4 linked regions of the Nothobranchius furzeri genome follow. The protein of the gene in region 1 purifies or fractionates together with the protein of each later gene. This does not show direct contact. Links are inferred from orthologs where the notes say so. Each region holds a gene or a part of one and is shown in the gene's direction. Other genes may lie near its edges.

The links.
Region 2: the proteins of sod1 (region 1) and park7 purify together in Homo sapiens (affinity purification with mass spectrometry; 4 studies listed by BioGRID and IntAct, with this or other methods). This does not show direct contact. The link is inferred for Nothobranchius furzeri from reciprocal best matches to the Homo sapiens genes SOD1 and PARK7.
Region 3: the proteins of sod1 (region 1) and tpi1b purify together in Homo sapiens (affinity purification with mass spectrometry; 3 studies listed by BioGRID, with this or other methods). This does not show direct contact. The link is inferred for Nothobranchius furzeri from reciprocal best matches to the Homo sapiens genes SOD1 and TPI1.
Region 4: the proteins of sod1 (region 1) and eno1a fractionate together in Homo sapiens (co-fractionation; 3 studies listed by BioGRID, with this or other methods). This does not show direct contact. The link is inferred for Nothobranchius furzeri from reciprocal best matches to the Homo sapiens genes SOD1 and ENO1.

The regions. Positions count from the first base shown.
Region 1 is NC_091750.1:63,536,546-63,542,080, forward strand, and holds sod1 (superoxide dismutase [Cu-Zn]), read left to right. Parts: upstream 1-2,295; 5' UTR 2,296-2,374; coding exon 2,375-2,446; intron 2,447-3,251; coding exon 3,252-3,348; intron 3,349-3,481; coding exon 3,482-3,551; intron 3,552-3,675; coding exon 3,676-3,790; intron 3,791-3,909; coding exon 3,910-4,017; 3' UTR 4,018-4,247; downstream 4,248-5,535. UniProt on the Homo sapiens protein: Destroys radicals which are normally produced within the cells and which are toxic to biological systems.
Region 2 is NC_091743.1:63,724,574-63,730,301, reverse strand, and holds the start of park7 (Parkinson disease protein 7 homolog), read left to right. Parts: upstream 1-1,983; 5' UTR 1,984-2,094; coding exon 2,095-2,184; intron 2,185-2,647; coding exon 2,648-2,749; intron 2,750-3,016; coding exon 3,017-3,076; intron 3,077-3,493; coding exon 3,494-3,563; intron 3,564-5,728. UniProt on the Homo sapiens protein: Multifunctional protein with controversial molecular function which plays an important role in cell protection against oxidative stress and cell death acting as oxidative stress sensor and redox-sensitive chaperone and protease.
Region 3 is NC_091745.1:74,101,714-74,107,370, reverse strand, and holds tpi1b (triosephosphate isomerase B), read left to right. Parts: upstream 1-1,480; 5' UTR 1,481-1,640; coding exon 1,641-1,749; intron 1,750-2,949; coding exon 2,950-3,073; intron 3,074-3,153; coding exon 3,154-3,238; intron 3,239-3,312; coding exon 3,313-3,445; intron 3,446-3,562; coding exon 3,563-3,648; intron 3,649-3,733; coding exon 3,734-3,821; intron 3,822-3,893; coding exon 3,894-4,012; 3' UTR 4,013-4,535; downstream 4,536-5,657. UniProt on the Homo sapiens protein: Triosephosphate isomerase is an extremely efficient metabolic enzyme that catalyzes the interconversion between dihydroxyacetone phosphate (DHAP) and D-glyceraldehyde-3-phosphate (G3P) in glycolysis and gluconeogenesis.
Region 4 is NC_091755.1:28,666,446-28,672,218, forward strand, and holds the start of eno1a (enolase 1a, (alpha)), read left to right. Parts: upstream 1-1,997; 5' UTR 1,998-2,135; intron 2,136-4,041; 5' UTR 4,042-4,054; coding exon 4,055-4,139; intron 4,140-5,707; coding exon 5,708-5,773. UniProt on the Homo sapiens protein: Glycolytic enzyme the catalyzes the conversion of 2-phosphoglycerate to phosphoenolpyruvate. In addition to glycolysis, involved in various processes such as growth control, hypoxia tolerance and allergic responses.

The DNA.
Region 1 (5,535 bases):
GAAGTTGTTTTATTTCATAAAAAATGATTGATCCAATTTCTAATTATCAATGACAGCTGTTCCAAAATAGCAGTTTTTTTCATAATTTTTTTGTTTTTACTCTATTTGTTCTTTATGGAAGCGTATTACATTCATTCCAAAAATTTTAAAAGTTTATTCTTTATCTGTAAAATTGATCTCATTAATTCGGCAAATCTGAACTTTTTTGAGGGGGTGGGGTGAACGCAGTACACTTCTGCAGTTCTTGAAATCTTGGCTGTCAGTTTTTCAAAATTTATGCACATCAAAACTTAACGGACATTAAATTACACCGTAACTTGTTGAATTTGGTGTTCCTTTGGTCTGTTTTTATTTTCAGGAAACAAAAGGAGGAAGGATGGAATGACAAATTACTAAAGTTAAGGTTTGCAAAACCTTGTCTTGGTTTGGGTCATTTATTACAAGTATTTCTTACAAAAAATGTTGTTTTTGTCATTGTGTTTAGAAAAAAAAGGACTCAAATACCTTGCATAAGGACTGAAATGTTTTTTTTTGTAAGTTTTATTTTTCCATTTATCTTTCCTGTTTTCAGACATTATCACTTGTTCCACTAATTTGACTTTTAGTGCATGCAAAATATTAAAGTAACCAATATTTTCTGTTTGACAGAATATTAAAATGTGACTTTTTTTTGAAGACCATATTTTGATTTCATTCTGAACCCAGAATTATAAAGTTTGCGGGGCAGTTCAACAGAAAGGCGTACCCATAAAGTGATGGAAAAATAAATGAAGGGTTCTGCCCAGAACATGCTGTAAATAAGCTTTTACCTACTTGTAATAGTTGTTAATAATCTGTGATTTGTTTTATTTGAAAGCAAAACATTGACTCACAAAAATAAAAAAAGATCAACCGAGACCAGTTGCTTTAACGTTTTTAACTCCTAGTGGTTTGAAAATTGACCGATGTTTCTATTTCTTTTAAAAATAAAAGATGTGGATATGAAATCTTCAATATTTCAGCCATAGGAAATTGTTTTTAATAAACTATTTTTGTACCAACTTCTTGCTTCTTTTTTATGCCATTAATAGTTTTATGATTTGCATTGTTGAGTTTTACCCAAACTAAATTCTGAGAAAAGAATACAAGTCAGTTATTTTTCTGCATAAGTAGTGTAAAAAATTCAAATAACTTTAAAAATACGGTACAAATTAATCAAGACTCGCTTAGTCCAGAGGGCCAGTTCCGTTCTTGGAGCCCCTCTGGACCCAGTGGAGGTGGTGACTGAGCGGAGAATGGTGGCCAAGCTATCTTCTCTGATGGATAACATCTCCCACCCCATGCACTGGACTCTGGCAGCACTGAATAGCTCTTTCACTAGCAGGTTGCTGCATCCACACCGCTGAGGGAAAGGTTCAGAAGACCATTTCTCCCAGCAGCGGTTAAGCCCCATTCCCACCTGTACCGGGTCGGCCCGGGCCGGGTAGCCCCAGTCGGCCCCAGCCTGGCCCGGTTGATTCCACACATCCTTGCCTTAAGCCCATGTGGGCTGATTCTACCCACCAATCAGAGGCTTGCTCTAATGGAAGGTGTGAATGGGTTGATTCTACCCACCAATCAGAGGCTTGCTCTAATGGAAGGTGTGAATTTGCTGTCAGCAGTGGGTGTGTTGGCCCTGGTCGGCCTGAAGCAGTACCCCTCGGGAAGAGGGCCGAGAATGAGCCTTGGTTGGCCCGGGAAAATTCCAGGCCACCCAGATATGTAAACAACCTATGCTACCCGGCCCGGGCCGACCCGGTACAGGTGGGAATGGGGCTTTAGATTTTATGAGGCCATTGCAGCTGGCTGTTGAATGAGGAAGATTGTGGTTTTCTCTTGTTAGTTTTTTTTAATATTACTGTTTTTTTTTTAAATAAAATTATGTTTTTTTTAATCTTACCTGCTTTTCTGACTGTACTGTCGATGCTGCAACGATGAAATTTCTCAAGTGTAGGACTAATAAAGGTATTATCTATCTATATCTATCTATCCATCTATCCATCTATCTATCTATCTATCTATCTATCTATCTATCTATCTAACTATCTATCTATCGCAGTCACTAAAAAAGAGTAATTTCAATATTTATAATTATTTTGTATGTTTTACAATCATACGAGATTTAATCAACTATAAACTAAGCTTATTAATAAATAACATTTAAAGAACGAAACTGCCAAAACATGAACGCAGACAAATGTGTTGATCATCGACATATATGCGTGCTTCCTGCCAGCCAATTAAACCACGCGTTTTCTCATTGGCTATCACTGAATTAACCCGCCCACTTGAGACGTTCTTATGTGACTCTCGAGGGGGCACGTGACGCGATAGTTACTCGTGAGTTGCTGCAAAGATGGTGGTGAAAGCTGTGTGTGTGTTGAAGGGAGCTGACAAAACAGCCGGGACCGTTCACTTTGAGCAAGAGGTAAGATGTCACAGTATGCACGAAGTGAACGAGGTTGTAGTCCGCGAAGAGGACATAAAATTCAACTTAATTAAACACTATACGGATGCCGTAGTTGTCTTGTGCTAAGCTAGCTAACATAAGTATGTCATCCATTTTTAGAGGAGCTCTTGACTAACTTGGCAGTTAGCGACATATTTACACCTCAGACTTTCAGATAGTGGAATATTTGATACATCTGCTCTGATTTTCTTAGTTTATAAAACAATTCATATGCAATTAGATAACTAGTTGCTCAACGAACCGTAGAAATGTTAGGTGCGCGTGCAGCAAGTTCTAGATAACACTTTGAATTCAAACATTTCTACTCGTGCTGGCACGACGTGGCTGTCGTGGTTGAAATGGAAAAATGTTTAGTTAAAATATAACCTTTAACCTTTTATAGTCTGCAGAATGGTAATAATTAACAGTGGACACGCTTGTTGCGTAATTTTCAGTCGTCTCACCAACGGTAATGTTGACTTCAGTGACCCCAGGAGGGATCTCTCACCACAGTCACTCATAATTCCTGTTTTTAGCAGCTTCTTCTTCTTTTGTCATCACAAAGCAGCTCGGAGACATCGCTGCACAGAGGCAGCCATTAAAGTCAAAACAAACACGATTTCCTCCCTAAAATTCTGCTGAGTCACTCTCTACCGTCTGACCATGACGTATCTAAACTTTTCTGTAGTATTTTTATTCCTGCCTGCAAAGTTCTTTGACTTTTTTCTGTTATACGTGCGTGATAATATTTACTTACATTATCATGACCGCCTGTGTCCCCTAGAATGAATCGGCCCCTGTTAAAGTGACTGGGGAAATCAGTGGCCTTGCTGATGGTGAACATGGTTTCCACGTCCATGTATATGGGGATAACACAAATGGTGAGAAATTGCATGTTTTTCCACATTTCCCCCCAAATTTTCAGTTAACTGTTAACATTTCCTATCTAGGTGCACTTGCTTGCTGTCATAAAAGCTTCCCAGAGTTGTAATATTTACCTTTACTTATTACCAGGTTGCATTAGCGCGGGGCCTCACTTCAATCCTTTTGACAAGAATCACGGCGGTCCTGCAGATGAAGAAAGGCGAGTCCCTCATGAGAAGCTGGATCACTTTTACCTATTCACTTATTTGTATTTGATATGCTTTTGTTTTTATAAAGTTTGACTGTAATATATTATAATCTGATACAATTTTTTTTTTTATCAGACATGTTGGAGACCTGGGGAATGTGACTGCTGAAGGGAATGTTGCCAAGATAAACATCACAGACAGCGTCATCAAACTCTCAGGACCTCTCTCAATCATTGGTCGAACCATGGTGGTACGTCTTCATCTGGGCTTGTGATCCTCCCTTTTTGTTTAATTTTATTTTTTTTAAGGATTTTAGTCTAAATTTGTCCCCAATAAAAATGTAGCTTATGTAAAACTACTTATTTTTAGATCCACGAGAAGCGTGACGATCTAGGAAAAGGAGGAAACGAAGAAAGCCTGAAGACTGGAAATGCTGGAGCTCGTCTAGCCTGTGGCGTTATTGGCATCGCCCAGTAAATCTGCAATGTAAAAGCACTGGATAAGCTATATTCCCCAAGAGACCAACACGGCTACTTAATGAAACGGTCCAGTTCGGTACTTTGTGGCGTTCTGTTAACCTGTTTTCTGCCCAGTTTCCTTTCTAATTAAATTGTTTGAGTAGGTTTATGTCCACTGACTAGGACTCAAGACTTTGTAGCGCACAAACTTCCAGATGTGTTATTAAAAAACATAAATGCCTCAAATGATGTAAATAGTCTTGTGTTTTTTTTAACCCTTTGCTGCATAATGGTCACTACAGTGGACAGATATTCAAAATTATTTATTTTTTGCTATTAAGCACAGCTGTTGTAGATTTTATTGCATTGAGCCCCTCATTTGGACTTCAGTAAGCCAAGCCAACATATTTTATGTTCAGAATGCACGCTGTCCACTGAGTTGGACATGTAATAAATTATTTGTAAATTAACAATATTACTATTTGCTGAAATTTGTTTCATTCACACCTAAAGATGAAACAATGTTTAAAAAATCATGGTTGAAGATTTCATAATTCATTCATCAAAGGGTTAAATTAGATTTTGATGGATTATTCCTCAAAGCTCAGAGCAGGAGTCCTAATTTAGTTTAGATATTAAGCTATCCAAAGTCCTACCAAAGCAAATACTTTTGTTTAGCAATGTTCAAAAAATTTATTCAGTAATATTTCTGACAAAATTGGCTAATTATGCAAAAAATTTGCCAAATTACAGAATCGAACCTGCTCTTGCATGAATAACATTTTAATATAAATGTGGCAATACTAGTATTTGTTTACACAGAACCAAAGATCTGTATGAGCCAGGAAATTATAGCCAGCATGTGATTTTAGTTTTCCACGAATATTAAGGTAAATACAAATTTTTAATCATACCACTGCCCATCCTAGAAACCAGCCTGTTTACAAGAAATTAAATGAAGCTTCATAGTTTTCAGCAAGCTATTAAAATGTTTAATCTTGGCAAAGATTTTTCTTTAAGTTGTGTTTGACTAAATGCTTAAAAATCAATGGGACCATTGAAAACTGAGGTGCGTGAGTGAGCTGCTCCCTTCCTCATGAGGGCGACGCTACACAGCTAATGGAACCAGCAGGAAACTAGCTAATCTGTTACTTTTACTCATCCTTTTAACTAATTCACTTTCTTCATTGGAAAAAATATTTATTTTTCCAATTAGATTGATACTAGAGTCAGAATACCTACGTACCCTGGTATGTTTTTAATTTTAACTGGGAAAGCAGAAATAAAATATTGCATTAATAAGTTTCTCAAAGCAAACTTTATGTTGTATTAACATTTTAGACCAGTTAGGAGTCAGCCTTCTGAAATATAACAGTTTGATTTGGAATCTCATCCATCCAGCAAACTCAACAGCTGTGCCCCAACACATACACGAGCGATGTACTCATCACTGCCAACAAATAGCAGGCGCATGACTTTCAAAATTGCATCCTCCAAGTATTTTCCTTAGATAAATTGACCTGCCTCTGATCTTTCT
Region 2 (5,728 bases), on another chromosome or scaffold:
TTTATTTTCATGTTTACACCACTTCATAACAGGATTACTTGGTAACAAACTGTAATTTGTGAAATTCCCTCATTTCAGTTTGAGGGTTTTATTTTTGCTCCTTGGGTACGGGGAGAAAAAAGTTCTGTTTTCTTGTCCCCCCTGAGGTTTGAACCCAAAAACCCTTCAGGTTTGTAAGCAGACCTCTGTGAGCAAGCAGATAAAATATATTAACTGAGCAAACAGAGGCAGGCCTGATGATGAGGAAGCAGAGAAGACGTAAGATGCTAAAGAAGGGCATGTTCTCAGCTCAGACTTTATTAAAGGTGTGGTTCACTGAAAAAAAAAATTTAATGATTATTTTGACAGAGCAAACAGAGTCGGTGGTAGAGTCATGTTGCTATTAGCCAATCGGAGGCAAGATGTCCAAATATCAGGAAATAAGACTCCAAATCCTGTCGTGTTGTGCCACTCTCTGCTGCAGCAGACTTGTCCGTGATGATCCAGACGCTTCTGGGCTTTCGTTGCCCCGAGTACGGCTTGCAAGGCATTAATTCCTACCAGAGACCACTGCAAGTGTACTGGCTAAACAAGTGTTCTACGCCTTTAACACATACAATGCTCACAAATCACCTCATCTTTCCTACCTAATATTACACTTCTGGCTGCATAAAGCACAAAACAAAATTAATGCCTCATTAGTTTTACACCTTCTGCATCATTCACACTTGATTTTCAAACTTTTCCTGGAGCAAATTGTTGAAAGAGAGCAAAGGTGTGCAATGAAAAAGTCTCCTCTTAGTGTTACATGTATTGATAGTTTTTAAAAGTTACTGGTGAGAATAAGCTGAAAAGTGCAAAGCAAACAAACTTCTTTTTCAGTGACTGTTACACTCGAGTTATGTTTTCAGTCACTTACAGTGGCTTGAACCTTTAGATGATTAAACCCTGTGCAAACACTTCCATTCATCAGTGGTTACTGTTTCCTTTCCTGTGACTCATCCTCAAGTCACTTTTGAAACTGGATCCCAGTCTAATCATGCGTTTGATGATAACACACTGAACAGAATTAGTAATTGTACGTAAGTGAATTAATGTATGGAAATTTTCTCGAGTGTGTTCGCGGGTCTGGTGCAGTTGATCCCCAGCTGCATATGTTGGTAATCACAGCTGCTTCTTGAATTCACTCACAGGCACGCAGCGAACAACCTGCTGGCAGCAACTCCTCCGCTTTTGTCTAATCCGTCATTTCACTGGGCTCTGAGTTGGTTAGAAGAATATGACAATGAATCTCTGCAGCAGAATACACATAGGCAAATTAACAAGGATGTGTGCCTGCACACTAAAGCCCTTAGACATCAAGTCTGGGATTTACATTGGAATGCGGATCTCTAAGTCTCTCAAGAGACTGGAACAGAAGTTTTCGCACAGACTTGGAAAAAATAAAAACTTTTTGCTCCTTTAGAGCTATTTTACAACATGGATTAGTCTGCTCAGCTGGTACTGTAAAACACAGTGAGCTGGAGACAAAACTAATGACTCAATTGAAAGCTTTTCTTTTAAGATTTTGCCAACAGTTAAAGTCCAAGTTGCAAATAAGTAAGAGACATGAATATTTCTAAAGCTCCAACAACAAAAATTTCAAATATTTAATATTTACTATATGTACCCTGGCACCCTCTGCTGGACAAAATATGGTATGGTATCATCTATTATTATTATTATTATTATTGTTATTTTTGTCATTATTATTATTATTATTATTATTATTATTATTATTATTATTATTATTATTATTATAAGGGAATCAGTCCAATCTTTAAATTGAAAATATGAATTTGTGTTTTCCATTCAGAGGTCAGAATGTTACACAAATAGTGGACTGTAAGTAAAATTTGTACAAGAATTGTGTTTACATTTATTTCAGAGTATAAACACCTTTGATGATTTAGTTGACATGTTTTTGTGCATGTGGAGCTTTGCCTTTTTGGAAGGGGGATAAATTGACGGATCTGGCAACCTATTCCTCCCGTTGAAAGTCTGCATTGGTCTGTACGTCTGCTGCCGCAGTTTTTAGCGTTTTAGTTCCTGCAGAAGTATAACTGTAAGCTAACTATGGCAGGGAAGAAGGCGTTGGTAATCCTGTCTAAAGGTGCAGAGGAGATGGAAACTGTTATTCCTGTGGATATAATGCGCAGAGCCGGGGTTTGTACTTGTTAACTTGTTGTATGCTAACAGTTAGCATGCTATGGTAAACAAAAGTAGCATGCTGCGGTTCATAGCTAACCCATAGAACTGACCTTACAGCAGACACCGGACCGTATGCTACAATTATGTTTAAACATAGTGGTTTATTAAACATTGATTGTGACGGTAAAGAAAATAATTAATTTGAGATAATGAGTGCTAACACTTGGTCAAGCAATAAGCAGTTTTGTCCTGCAACTATTGTTCTCCTTAACCTCAAAAGTTGAATCCCCTTTTGAGCTTGTAGTTTGTAAATTCTAGACGAACCCCCAACCTTTAGCGACTCCAGGCAGAAGCCAAGTTTAAATGTCAAAGTCCAACCTCTTTTTACCTTTCAAAATAAAAGCCTTCGTTGACCATGACGCAGGATGCCATGTAGTCCTGTTACTCTGGAGTTGTGATAACATTTTCATATTTGTAGATTACAGTCACAGTTGCAGGTCTGACGGGGAAAGAGCCAGTCCAGTGCAGCAGAAACATTGTCATCTGTCCTGATACAAGTTTGGAGGAAGCCAGCAAACAGGTAGAGCATTAAGACAAGCAGTCACATGTTAGGGAAACATCTCATGAGATGTATTTGTTGTGGGACGATGATGTGTATCAGAGCAGTTCCTGTTAATTTTGACGTTGATTCTACCAATTTCTGGATCATGGATCTAAAATTATAAGAATAAAGGAAATACATCAAAGAGTTACTTGAATTATATTTAGTTCTAAATGTTCAAATCTTTGTCAAAGATAACTTAGATTTTTTTAAAGACAGGTAATACTCATTTTGTTTGTGTCCAAGGGCCCATATGATGTGGTTGTCTTGCCAGGAGGAATGCCAGGTGCTCAGAATCTGGCAGAGGTGAGAAAATACTTACTTTTGACATTTTCATTGGCCCTTGTGCTCAGTGAGCAGCCACATGGCTCTAGAATTATTTTCATCAGATATGGTTTGCATTTGAAATCGATAGAATAGAAATAAAAACAAGTTTTTAACAACTTTTACTGTAAAGTATTTCCTTATGCTGAGTCGCATTTCTTTTGCTGAGTAGCTTGCAGATCATAATTGTCAAATATTGCATTTTTCTGCTGTAGCCCTTTCTAAAATTGTGATCAGAACATCCATAGCTGAAACATTTGATTTGCAGAAAGCTCTGCATAGCGGATACTTTTAAACACACTGCCTCTTTGTGTTATTACAGAATGGCCAGTGAATATGTATGGAGGGCCACATGGCCGCTAAGTGACTCTGTGTGCATCTGTTTTTCCTTTCTCCCAGTCGCCTGCTGTGAAGGAGGTGCTGAAGGATCAAGACAGCAGAAACGGCCTGATTGCAGCCATCTGTGCAGGTACAGCTTGTGAAAACAATCCAGCCATAATTATACACATTATCTAATAGATTTCCCTCTCTATGGGTTAAATATGGTGTGACCTTAATCTTGACAAGCATGTCTGGGACTAAAGAGATTCAGATTAATTAATTAATGACCACACAACAAGTTGGTGGAATTTGTTTCCTGTGCAGCACGACATGCTCACAACTCTGTGTCTACACCTGACGTAACTAAAAATAAACAGACAGGGACATACAAAAGCTTTAGGCAGTTACTTTATTTGGTGACCGTATAGCTGTTGGGGATAAAACTGTATTTGAATATATGTGATTTTGACTGTAAACACCTGTAGCGTCTTCTAGAAGGCAATAGTGTGAACAGATGATGTGCAGGGTGAGAGGGGTCCGAGGGGATGTTTCCTGCCCTCTGTGTGATGCGTCATGGTACAGCGTGTCAGTGGAAGGTAGGGTATGGCCTATAATTTTAGATGATTTGACTGTTATGTGTTGTTGTTTTTTACGTGAGTTGGAGTCCATATTACCATACGAGACTACTATGGGTGAGGTGAGTATAGTCTGAATGATGGCAGTGTAGAACTGTACAAGGACGTGGTGCATTTGTACATGGTTTGTAAAGGTTGATTGTGCAGTCACTGAGCAAGAAGCATCTGACTACGAATGGGATGGGCAGCCATCCTCTCACGCCTAGTGAATGACACTTTAGGGTGGCCAGTTAATGAATTTTGAAGTGCACAGAGATGGACTTTCTGATTTAAAGCTGCAAAGGCAAATCTGCAAAACAAGCTAGCTTTTAAACACAAAAATGGTCACAGAACACTCACCTCTCCCATCGGCTACTATCCCCTGGCCACGCCCACCTGATATAGGAATCCACGTGCCAGGGGACACGAGAGAGCGCAAAGCACCAGTTACCGTTTTCCAGGTCCAAACGTCTTTTGTTGACTTCAAATGGTGTTTTTCTTTTTGGGACTCTGGTAGATTGTCCTAAAGTTGAAGTGGTAGCAGCCGGCTGTTTCTCCTTCTCTGATATTACTGAGCACCTCTCACACCAGTGACTGGAGGACCCAGGTAAATGCAGAAATGCGGTGGCCCAGTGAGACAAACTACTGGCATCATATACGTATGTAGACGCCTCATAGACTGGCGCTCCCCATAGGAGCTGACGTATTAGCGCAGCTGCCATCTTGGATAGGTTCCTATTTGCCCCCAGTGCATTTATTTCTACTGAGAAAGGTGTTCACCCAACTACAGTAGTCCATTTTGTTAGGGTTTGTAAGAAAACCAGATCTGTGGTGTGACATGATAATAAAAATATAAATGAATTAATTTTATATTTTAATAAAACATATGTTTGAGTGTTCATTTGAATTTATTCCACTCACTTTCTCCCTCACACACACACTGGGGCTGGGGAGCTAAACTTGACAAAAAACTTTGTGGCTGTGCTGTCACGCTGTAACTCGGTAGTTAATATCGCAATGTGGTGCAGCCTTACTTTCTGATATAGAGACAACAAAAGACTTGAGCGTGAAACAATGATTTTCAGTTCAGAAATATTAGCAAATGGAGACAGAAGATGTTCCTCTGACAGTAAGCTGATGGGGCCACTAGCGAGTCACCATAACAGACCATCAGCATACCTGTATGTCTCCCATTAACCTGAGCAACTCCACTGTTTCTAACCCTTTTTCTTGCCTGCTTCCCGTATTAGTAATTTGAAGAAAAATTTCCCATTATGTTCATTCTGAATTAGCCGCAGAAATAAAAATAGATGGGGGAATACTCGGACCAGAAAAAGCCACACAGATTTACGTCATTTTGGAAATTTGCATTCATTAATTCATCCCTTATGGCTGCCGACTGGAAGGCTGTATTGATCTTGCAGCAAAAAAAAGCGGAGTGTGTCTCGGCTTGTTGACGCTAACTATTAGCAAGTACACAACATGTTTGGGCTTGTGTTATTTGTGGAAATAAAACATTAATGTGGCATTTTTACCCAAGAAAGGAGTGAACGGAGGCAGCAGAATAGTCGCAAGGCATTCAAACCATAACTCTTTGTCACCTGAGAATTTAATATTGAAAAATACTTCACTCTCTTCTTGCAACACTTTTTAGGTTGAACCCTCCTTGTCATTCTGCGTGAAAGGTTGTGTACTTGAT
Region 3 (5,657 bases), on another chromosome or scaffold:
TTAACTTCACAAAAACTCCTTCTGTGAACCATAACAAGTAGGAAACTCGTTGTGCGCTTGAGTGACTGGTAATAAATAAAAGCCGAAAATGCAAGGCCCCGGGATGTGAATAAGAGTAACTGCATTGTGATTGGCTACTGGGATAGCCTGAGGAAAGTGGGAGGGGCTTGTTTGTGCCCTACAGTAACACGGGTAAAGGTGAGGCAATCTGTTTTTCACTAGCCTGGCAAGCCAGACTTTGCAAAGCAAGAAATTGGTCTAGTTCTCAAGGCTAGTTTTTCACCGGATTTTAACGAAAAAGATCCATTTGAAAAATAAAATATCTTAAAGCTATGATGATGTTGAGAATTTTTAATTTTTTTTAATTTATTGAGATAAACTGAGAGACATTTAATAGACAGACTAACAAGCTTATACTGCGCAAGTATGCACATGTGCACCACATTATTTGGAGACAGAAACTGTTTTGTTAAGTCGTTATCTACAATACCAGTCAGGTAGGTTGCTTCTCACAATTAAAGGGGCTTCTCATTATGAGAAACCTGCTAGATAAATATTAAAGAGCAAATTATCCTGAACCTGAAACGGCTCCGCAACCATACTAATAAAAGGGACACATACATTCTTGTTACGGTTTGACAAAATACAGTTAGAGTAGCTGATAGTAAAGTACATTATAAAAAGTAAATTAATACAACATTTAATACAAAAAGTTACTTTCAAACGTGTTTTATATGTGTTTTACAAGTATAATATTTGAGATTAACCGCAATGCATGTTGGGTATGTAAAATGTAAATACAAGTTCCGTGATCTGTCCAACCAGATCATCTGTTCTTCAGTTGTCATTAAAGGTAGGCGGGGCTAGGTGGGTCACTAGTCATGACCAATCCAAAAGCGCATTACTGTGTCATTCAAAGTGAAAGCGTTAAATAAATGCTCAAATGGAAACACTTTTGCACATGATTCAAATACATTTGTTTTACTTTCGTACGTAAAATAAAATAATTACATATCCAACTTAAACATATTTATACAAATTATGTGATGTGTTCAGTAGTTGAGAAACAGTTCTTTCAGGTGTAGAATACTCTTTTTCGTTGTGCTTTTAACAGTTTAGTTTGTAATTCGTAATGTAGTACTTTTATCTCAGCTATCAAATCACAAAATAATGTGGAAATGTTATCACAGATAGTATCTGAAGATGTAAACACGTTTTAGGTGATATCACAATACATTCAGTTCATCAAGTTATGATTTTTATGCATAAGTGAGCTAAATTTTTGCTATTTAGTTTTTTCGAACTGTTTTTAGTTATTTAAACAACTACGTATCTTTTTCATTCAATTAAAACATGTATTTTTTGTGGTTTATCTTTGTGTAAATAACTTTTCAAACAGCACTTGAACGCAGCATGACATTTCGCTCTTCCTCTTCCCCTGCTGCGGTGATGCGTTCATCGGCGTTCCGTGATACGCCAATGGTGTGTCGGTATACTGACAAAGAGGCGGTGTTAAATTCCCTCCGTATAAATAGGTAAAGCAGCCATCAAACGCTTGCTCTCTGCCCCGAAAGAGAAGGTCCCCGTCGTGGTACTGTCCAGTTTAATTCTCTAGTAAATCCTAACAAAAACCCGCAAACATGAGCAGGAAATTCTTTGTCGGTGGAAACTGGAAGATGAATGGAGACAAGAAAAGCCTCGGGGAGCTCATCGAGACCCTGAACGGAGGAAAGGTGGACGCTAATGTCGGTATGTGTGGATTTTAACAACCGAGTTAAAACTTTCGTTGAATCTTTCAGCCTAACCCCGTTGTGTTCGTCAATTTTTTCTCTTTCAAAACGATTTTTGATATATTTTCAAAATGGCTCGTTCAGTCATGAAACAAGGACACCTTTAGCATCACAAATCTCCTCCTCAATGATTTTAAAAGCCCTTAAAAAGAAACAGTCGTTATATTGTCGTGTTGAATCGAGTTTAATTAACCTAAAATAGACAGAAAAGTATGAAGGGGTACAGGTGAAGGGCGAGCAGAGAAGCTTTTCGGTGATGTCGGAGGTGGGTGTGCGTTTGCAGCTGCACGTAGTCACGCTAGCTCCCGGGATGCATTCAAGATCAAGCACTGGTCACTGATGCTTCCCAAAGCCTGCTGGCTAAATATACAGAACAAAGCTAGTAAAAGATCAGAGGTTTTAATTAAAACAGAAATACAATTTATATACGTTTAAAATCAATGTGCATGTTTACCTTTTGCTCATGCGTGAATGTCTGAGTCTGTGTTTTTTTATTTTTCCCTATCGTTACCTGAACGCATCGTCTGCACTATCTGCTTCTGCAAACCAGAAAAAACAGCAGCAGCTGTTTCCCCCCTTCACTGCAGGGTCCGCAGACTTTGTGTCAAAACCAAACCTGTTGCGATTCAGCATTATTATGCAACCCTAACGTTGTATCTACCTGCTCCACGCTTGTCCAGGAGCAACTGCTCATACTGTCCTTGGACCTTGCCCCCTAAATGAGTCCACCTCCCTTGCAGTGCCAGACAGGCTTTGCCTTGTTGTTCTAATGTCCATCATGTTGGTCATTTGACCTTTTGAACCCAGGTTTAAGCCATGTCTCGTCCTCTGCAGAATGCAAGCCTTTAGTTGACCTTTTTAGAAACTGAACTCAGACCTTTACTGCTGTTGACTCTGGCTCGGGACAAATGACCTTTACCAAACTGAATTTAGCTCCTCGTAACCCCAAAGATACAGTTACAATGTGAATGTCAGTGTCTGGACTTCACTGTACTTGTGTCAAAGTCTTGTATTCACACAGGGGGACCATGTTTAAGGATTATTTGAATGTGTTTTGTTCTAAAACAAAAATCGTAGATTATTTCAATATTTATAGGAATTAGTCCTAAAGCTAATAAAAAGCCTTTATTGTTGACTATGTAACCTTCTACATAAATAGAGGTGGTGTGTGGCGCTCCATCCATCTACCTGGACTTCACCAGGTCCAAGCTGGATGCCAAGTTTGGTGTGGCAGCTCAGAACTGCTACAAGGTTCCCAAGGGTGCCTTCACTGGGGAGATCAGGTAGTGCCGTAGAAACCTGTCCAGCCTTTTTCTGTGGATCTAGCGGTTTGCGGTGAGTCTTATCCGTTCTCTGCCTCCAGCCCTGCGATGATCAAGGACTGTGGTGTGAACTGGGTGATCCTGGGACACTCTGAGAGGCGCCACGTCTTTGGAGAGAGCGATGAGGTAAGATTTAACAGTTTAAATCTCACAGAGGATTAAACGGCGTGTTTATTGAATGTCCTCCTGTGCAACGTTAGCTTATTGGTCAGAAGACGGCTCACGCTCTGGAGAACGGTCTCGGCGTGATCGCCTGCATCGGTGAGAAGCTGGATGAGAGGGAAGGAGGCATCACGGAGAAGGTGGTGTTTGCTCAGACCAAAGTCATTGCAGGTATGCAGCTTCTTTTATATAAACTCGTGTGCACGGGAGGAAAAAGCCCAAATGGAGCAATACGTTTTCCCTTAATCTGGAGAAGTTGCTAAATCTGTGGTCTTATCTGTTTGGCAGACAATGTAAAGGACTGGAGCAAGGTGGTGCTTGCTTATGAGCCCGTGTGGGCCATTGGTACAGGCAAGACCGCCTCCCCGCAACAGGTAGACGTGGGAGAACAACTAAATACTCCTGCTTGAGGACCACCAGGGCGGCAGTGTTTAACAAGTTTCCTGTGTGATTTCTCAGGCCCAGGAAGTTCATGAGAAGCTGAGGGCGTGGCTGAAGACCAACGTCTCTGAGGCTGTAGCTAACTCTGTCAGGATCATTTACGGAGGTGAGTAAACGGACAAACGTCCCGCATTCTTCCTGCGTTAATGCCGTCTCATTAACCGCCGCTGCCCCTCAGGCTCTGTCACTGGTGCCACCTGTAAGGAACTCGCCTCCCAGAAGGACGTTGATGGTTTCCTTGTGGGCGGAGCTTCCCTCAAGCCTGAGTTTATTGAGATCATCAACGCCAAGGCGTAAAATCCCAGCAGCGTCACTTCCATTCAGATGATCTGGTCCCCTCGCCCCTTAACCTCCAGTACTTCTTCCTTGTCTTTATTAAAAGTATTTGTGTAATGTTGTCATTCCTCCTTTTTTCTTTAGTTTTAATATTTAAAAAAAAAAGGGACAGGCTGACACGTTCACCATTCTGCACTGATGATTCTACTGAGAACGGCCGAACGAACTCCCACACCAAGTGCTCGAGCTAAAGGCTGACACCTAGAGGTGGACCGACTGTCCACGCCTTCACTTGAAACGTTTACAACCTTTATTTGTGCGAACAGGGTCACCGCTCTTGTCGATCACGTTTACTCGCCTTTGTACCGTTGTCTGTTTATTTTTGTGGATCTGTTACTTTGACCTCCCCGTAGATGTGCATGATGTGCTTCTCGTGTTGCCGAGAGGATCGTACCTGTCGCGTTAACCTTTCTGTGTCACAGCCGAAATGTAAACGAAGTGGAACGGTTTTGAGGAAATATTATAATAAAGAGTTTAGAGACTGTTTCAGTGTGAGAGTTTTTGTCCCAAATTGATCAGATGCTTTAAAGACGCAGATTAATTTCACTGCTCAAACAGCTGAGGGTTCATGCAGTGTAGTGATCCTGTCAGCATGGTGTCTTATTCCTGCAGGGACAATGCCGGGGAGATCTTCGTTGCTATTTTTATCTGCTCTGCGCAACTAAAGATGGCCTCATCAGAGCCAATTTAAAGCAGAAACGCTGTTTAGATCCTTTCAGTGCGAGACGGCGTGTCTCTCTCTGAGGAAATGTGTTAAAGGTTAAATGTTTCCTCTAGTTTGCACTAAACCAAGTTTTGAGTAAATGTTTGCTTTTCTTCCATATCTGTATTAGTTTTGGAATATCTGCATGTTGAAATCTCTAAAGGATACTGATAAATGCATGATAAGGTACAGACAAAAACAGTATAATATTTATAATGCCTTAAACTTGGTCAAAAAGGACAACCTGAGACATTTCAGTTGCTACAACCTATAGTTGGTATGTTTGATCCAAAGGTGCAGGTCAGAAAAAGAAAAATGTGGATTGAGAACGTATTGAATTACCAAAAATGTAATTAGTACAAATATTTTTAGGTATTGGTACAAACATATTTATTTTGGTGTTGTGTGTGTGTGTGTGCTCAGTCTTCTCGATCCCCAGTGAGTCGTGGCGGATGGCTGCTTATACTGAGCCAGGATTCTCTGGAGGTTTCTTCCTGTTTAAGTGGAGTTTTCCTCTCCACTGTCGCTAAATGCTTGCTTAGTATGAGGATTGCTGACTTGATGCAATTTGCTGGGTTCCATATATAGGAAATTTTTTTCTGATTGGCTTAATGAACTAACCTGTATTGGAAAGATTACTATGTGAAGTGCCTTGAGACGACCCTTGCCGTGATTTGGTGCTATATAAATAAACTTTAATTGAATTGAATTAATTAGAGCACTTTATTTGAATTGCCAATAATATCTAATAATAGGATCAAAAATGTGTTTTTTCACAAATTATTAGCATTTTATGTAAATTTATGTCAAAAGTTAATTGTGGTTACAACACCAATGTGGGACATTCACAGCTTTGAGAATTAAGTTAGTTTTGAGTTCATATTTAACATTCTAACTTATTTT
Region 4 (5,773 bases), on another chromosome or scaffold:
GGCTCCAGTACAGAACAAAGTCATTAACAAAACCAAACAGAGCATAATGTGCTTGACAGTTTGTATTACTTTTCTGAAAACATTGTTTCTTGTAAACACTGATAAATCAATCATTCCTTTCAATAAACGTTAAAAAATACACTGAGCAAAATGTACTTAAATGTGTATATTACTGTTTATACTAGATTATTTACTGTAAAGGCTGTGATTAATCAACCAGTCCTATCTTTAATGAACTTTTGACACTTGAAAATAAAACAGTGAGCTGAGCAAAATGTTCTTAAAAGTGTGTTACTTTTTCTGTACTAATTATTTCCTATCTTAATATCAGTAAACTTTTCACTCATGAAAAAAATGGGAGCAAAATGTAGGCTATAAACAAGTAATAAATGAAGTTTTAACCCCTTAAAGTGGAGAGGTCCTTGCGACCCACTGAGAGGCTTTGGCGCCCCCTTGTGGGGGTTGGGACCCCCAGATTAGGAACCACTGAACTAGACCAAATTCTTGCTTTGCAAAGTTTGTTCTAGGAATGCTCCACTGGAACCTCTGCAGCCCCTAACAGCATTCTGGCTGGCCAATCACAGCTCTCTAGAGGGGTTTCAAACACACAAAGAGCTGTGATTGGTCCATAATGGTGGGCCAATCGTAGTGCTCTATCTGCTTAGCAGGGGTGGACTGGGACCAAAATTCGGCCCTGGCATTTTTACGAATCGTCGGCCCTCCCCATTGGGAGAGCGTTGGGGGTGGGGGATGTTGCCGCCCGTGGACTCGTCTCTAGGCCGAATGAGAGTTCTAATATGAACTGGGACTGTTAAATTACAAGCATGGGCAGACCGCTGCGACTGGGAGCCCTGGCCTTCTAGATCAGCTCATTCCCCATGGGCGGAGATCAGCGGGACATTAGCTACATGCTAAAGCGGTAAAACAACTTATACGTCATCGCTCTAACGCGTTTTTCTAGCTAAAAATGACTGGAAAAACTCTGGTAGCTTCAGGTTTTCATATAGCTAATGTTCTGCAGATCACCAACTGTGAAGTGGTGTCGGCCCAAGCAGGGTAAGCAGCCCACTTGGCTAAGTGGCCCACCGGGACAGTGCCAGAATGCTAGATAGGCCAGTCCACCCCTGCTGCTTAGTGAACAAATCACAGAGCTTTATCCGCTTTGTGGGCCAATCAGGGCACTCTATATGCCTGGTGGGTGGGATGATGCAACAGAGAGAAACAAGAGTATGTCACATTCTTTGTCCAGTAGCATGCGGCGATCATTTGAAAGACAACGGTAGAACCCACCCCACAACCGAGAGCCGTCAATGGAGCGTTGCCAGACTAAATAATACATTTATTTAGTCTGGCTTGCCAGGCTAAGTGAAATGTTCAATTTGACTAGAAACCATCCATCCATTTTCAGTCGCTTACCCGAAGTCGGGTCCCAGGGGCAGCAGCCTAAGCCGGGACGCCTAGACTTCCCTCTCCCCAGCTACTTGAGCCAGCAATTCCGGAGGAATACCCAGGCGTTCCCTGCCAGCCGAGAGACATAGTCCCTCCAGCGTGTCCTGGGTCTTCCCTTGGGTCTCCTCCCAGTTGAACGTGCCCGGAAAACCTCACTTGGGAGGCGTCCAGGAGGCATCCTGACCAGATGCCCAAGCCACCTCAGCTGGCTTCTCTCAACATGGAGGAGCAGCGGGTCTACTCCTAGCCCCTCCCGGATGACCGAGCTTCTCATTCTATCTCTAAGCCACCCTGAGGAGAAAAATCAAAGCAATTTGGCTAATTGCTATATGGCAAAATGGCTTGCCATATAGCAGTATTCAATCAGCTTCCTACCTCTAGCTGAAGCCTATAATTCCCATAATTCATTGTTTGAGAGCGCTTCTCATCTCTGCGCTCCTGTAGGGATGCTTTTTTAATCAGAAAAGCCGCATCCTCCTGCCCTTCATCCGGGTCCTCTAACTCCTATTAGTGAACGTGCGCTCCTCCTCGCGCTCCTCTACGTAGTGTCTCTCTTCCAGCCAATAGCGTCGCACCGTTCCTGATTCCGACCACTTATCTTCCAGCTCACAGGGTCACGAGCGCCTTCTCTGCCTGCTTACCCGAGAGACTGAGCACCGTCCTTGCACACAGTTAGGCCGGAAAAGGTAACCTTTACCGTTGTTTTTCTCCTTTCCTCCTGTTTTTCTTCGATTAACAAACATTTTAAAGCTTCGTGTGGTTATTGTTAAGCCGAGTGTGCTAATAAAATCACTTTACTGCTTTTTAAAATTACTACACGATGGGTTTCCTCTTAAACGAAATCCTCCGCGGTTTGTCCTTGTCGGTGCTAGCTAACTGTCGAATATTTTGGTAGCTCGATCACGTTTGATTCCTTCATCTTGCTGTTGTATTCAGCAGGATGGAGCGATTTCTTTAACTCGTCGTCTATTTTTAAACAACGCCGTCAGCTGGCGAGATATCTCTCCATTTAGAGCTGAAGTGTGTGAGGGGGAATGGGGTGTCCGGTTGCAAGGCCACCTTGCAGCAGACCGTATTCTTCATTTTGACGAGGAGCCATTATTTGTGACCCTCTTGTTTCGAATAGGAATTTCAAAGCCACTCGTTTTTTTGACCACCGGTTGCTTGCAGCATACACGGAGGTGTGTCCACCGTGTCAGGGAAAATTACTGAGGGGGAACAAGCCTGCACGGGCGTCTGGGTTTCCTTCATTCTCCCAAGCTAATGAGTCCTGTGAGGATTCTTGCATCTTTATTAGGACAATCAGAGAAAACGCTGTAAGTCCAGTAGAGGAGTTATTTTATGCTTTAAAACTAACTAAATAATCCACATCTAACCCAGTATGAAGTAATGATGTCTCGAATTAACTGATTTACCAGCTGTAAAATAATTGTTCTGGATTATTCACGCATTTCTGTCTTGCATTGAGTAATGATCAGAAAATGCACATTTATTTCAAGACGGGTTGTCTGTGGCTGAATGGATAACATGTTGCTAAAGGGGGGACATTTACAGGAGTGGTTCACAAATAATCCAAATAGTCAAGGGTTTTGCATGTTCGTAGTAGTTAACCTGCTACAAAATTTGGTCTGCATATGTTTGTATTTTAAATATTTTAATGAAAAATAAAGTCCCACACACTTAATAATAAAACAGCCAAACTCTGGGATAATGGTTTATCTAAAACTGATCTTATTCGTGAACCATTTCACAAAGTGATCCTGAAGATTTGTGCTAACGTTACGGCACATTTGGGGACTAAGATTTGGTCGTTTAAATTTTAAAGCTTTGAGTTTTGATACCCAGTCTTAAAAAAACACTTCCTCTGTGAATTTGTCTGTGGCACATTTCCACACAAACTTTTAAGGATTGCCTTTTCCATTAGTTTTAATTAAGCTGCACTCACGCTTGACTTTGCAGAATATGAATTTAGGGCGAGTTGAGTAGAACAAACACAATAATCAATATAAAACTGCAGGCGTCATGGCCCAGACAGTCTGGCATTACACTGTTTGACTTCCACTGCAGAAATGGAGGTGACAAAAGCTCTGAGATTAAGCCTGCAGTCTGTATCAGAGCGAAGCTTGTTACAAAAAAGGCCAAACATTGCACTGGTGCCAAATCACGTTCCTATTTTGCACATTTACGCTTAAATATTGATATTGTTGCATAATTCTTGACTTTACTGGGGCAAACATTTTGCAAACTATTTCACAATCGGAAGTGGTTTGTGAACTCAGTTGACCTGCAGAGAATTTTCTAGTGCTGCAGAAGCCACACCCCGCCCCGACTGAAGCAACAATCATTCTGTTCGGATCACATCAGTCTGATAGTGTGCAGGTCTCATTTATTTTAGTCTTCAAGAAGATTTACAGCTGATCAATATTTCCCCAGACTCCTTTTTCACATTGAGTTTTATTGTAGGTGTGCTGCAGAGCATTTATATTTTTTGCCAAGTCACTGTTCACTGGACCATTAAGTATGCGAGTGCCCCTGTAGGGAGGCCTGAATGGTTGCAGTATCGGTAATGAACTTTTGCTCTCGTTTTTGCAGGAGATCTGTAACAATGTCCATCCTGAAGATTCACGCTCGTGAGATCTTTGACTCTCGTGGAAACCCCACCGTAGAGGTCGATCTGTACACCAAGAAAGGTTTGTAAGAGCTCTTATGATTTTCTGTACAACCTTCAGGTGCTGAATGACTTCCTCCTTAGACATGGGTAGTTTAGTTGTTCATTTTTTGAATCATTTAATCAGAATTGGTGATTTTTCCATTAAACCTGAATATTTTATGAAGTTTTAGGCTTATCTTTCTTTTCATAGTTTACTTGATCAATCTGGGGAAAAATACAAACTTCCTAGTTGTTCTGCAAGTTTGAATTTTCAGTGCAATCAGAATGTCTTACTTTGCTAATTCATAATTTGTTATTCCCCCTGAAACATACAAAAGTGGATATTTAGGTCAGGTTTGTGCTTGGTTACTGCTGCTGGCCCAGAGTGGATGGCATTCATGAATGTGTGAAAATAGCTGCTGTAACTTGACATGACCTCCACAGCTCACAGCTACTGTAATGGTTCCTGTTTGGGAGCACACAGCTCATACAGTACACATCAGTAGCAAACCACATCAGCTGATTATTAAAATTCAAATGACTAGAAACCTCCTCTTCTGAAGTGATGTAAAATTAGCTTCTCTGGATTATGTGACTACGCTGCCTAGAAGTCATCTGTACTCTTTTGTACGAGTCCTCTAAGGTCTGGATCAATTCATTTCATAATGACCCATGGTTTTATTTATTTGTTTTGTTAAACTAAACAAAGGGTTTGCTCGACTTGCTTGACACATCCTGAGAATGTTAATGAAGCAACCTGAATGGTCACTGACCTGGAAGTGAGTGAAACTGGTCAGTGTCCTGAAAACGCTGTCTGGCTGTTCTGCAGCCATCTCTTCGTGAGTTTGGCTGGTTGTTGAGTGCTCTGTTTACTGTAAATGTCTGATTTCTTTTTGCACAAGATTCCCTTTTAAGTCCAGCAGCCCAGCTTTGACATCATTAACGGCGAATGTCTGTTTTTCCCAGAGGTTATTAGGTTTTTGCTCTGTTAGATGTTTACACCCACTGATCCTGTGTGGTGGGGTAAGAATTTTATTAAAATTTTGTGACTAAGTGCATTTGTTCTGCTAATGAATCTTTTGCTGTACTTTGAAACTTGGCAGCTAGTGTGGGATAGCACTTGATTGTGGGCCTGATGGGCCGCTGCCAGCATCCTCCTGCTGCCAGCTGGTGTGGAGCTGCAGATGATTTGTCAAGCATTAACTGGGCCCGGGCAGTGGCTGTGTCCCATGCCCTAAGCACTAAATCCCCTTACTCATCATCTTTGCTGCTCCACTGAGCAAAATGGAAAAACTTATTTTCAATATTTTTTTAGTTTCTATTCACTCTTGGGACCCAACAATGACTATCCTCTTATGTGGGCGTGGTTTAGTATCATGCCACAAATTCACTGCACATGCTCCGTTGACTCCGTCTTTCCTCTGCAGCAGAGCCGGCACAGCTCTCCCCCTGTTTTCTCCCTTTTAGGGAGCAGATGAAATCCTCTAGTGCTTTCTACTCGTTTGGTGTAAAGCTGCAATTGTACAACAACTAGTGATTTCTCATACCGTCTAATTCAACAGCGACAGTATTTTTTTTTATTTTAAAGAATCCCCTTTATCTCTTTAGGTCTTTTCCGAGCTGCAGTTCCCAGTGGTGCTTCCACAGGTATTTACGAGGCTTTGGAGCTTCGTG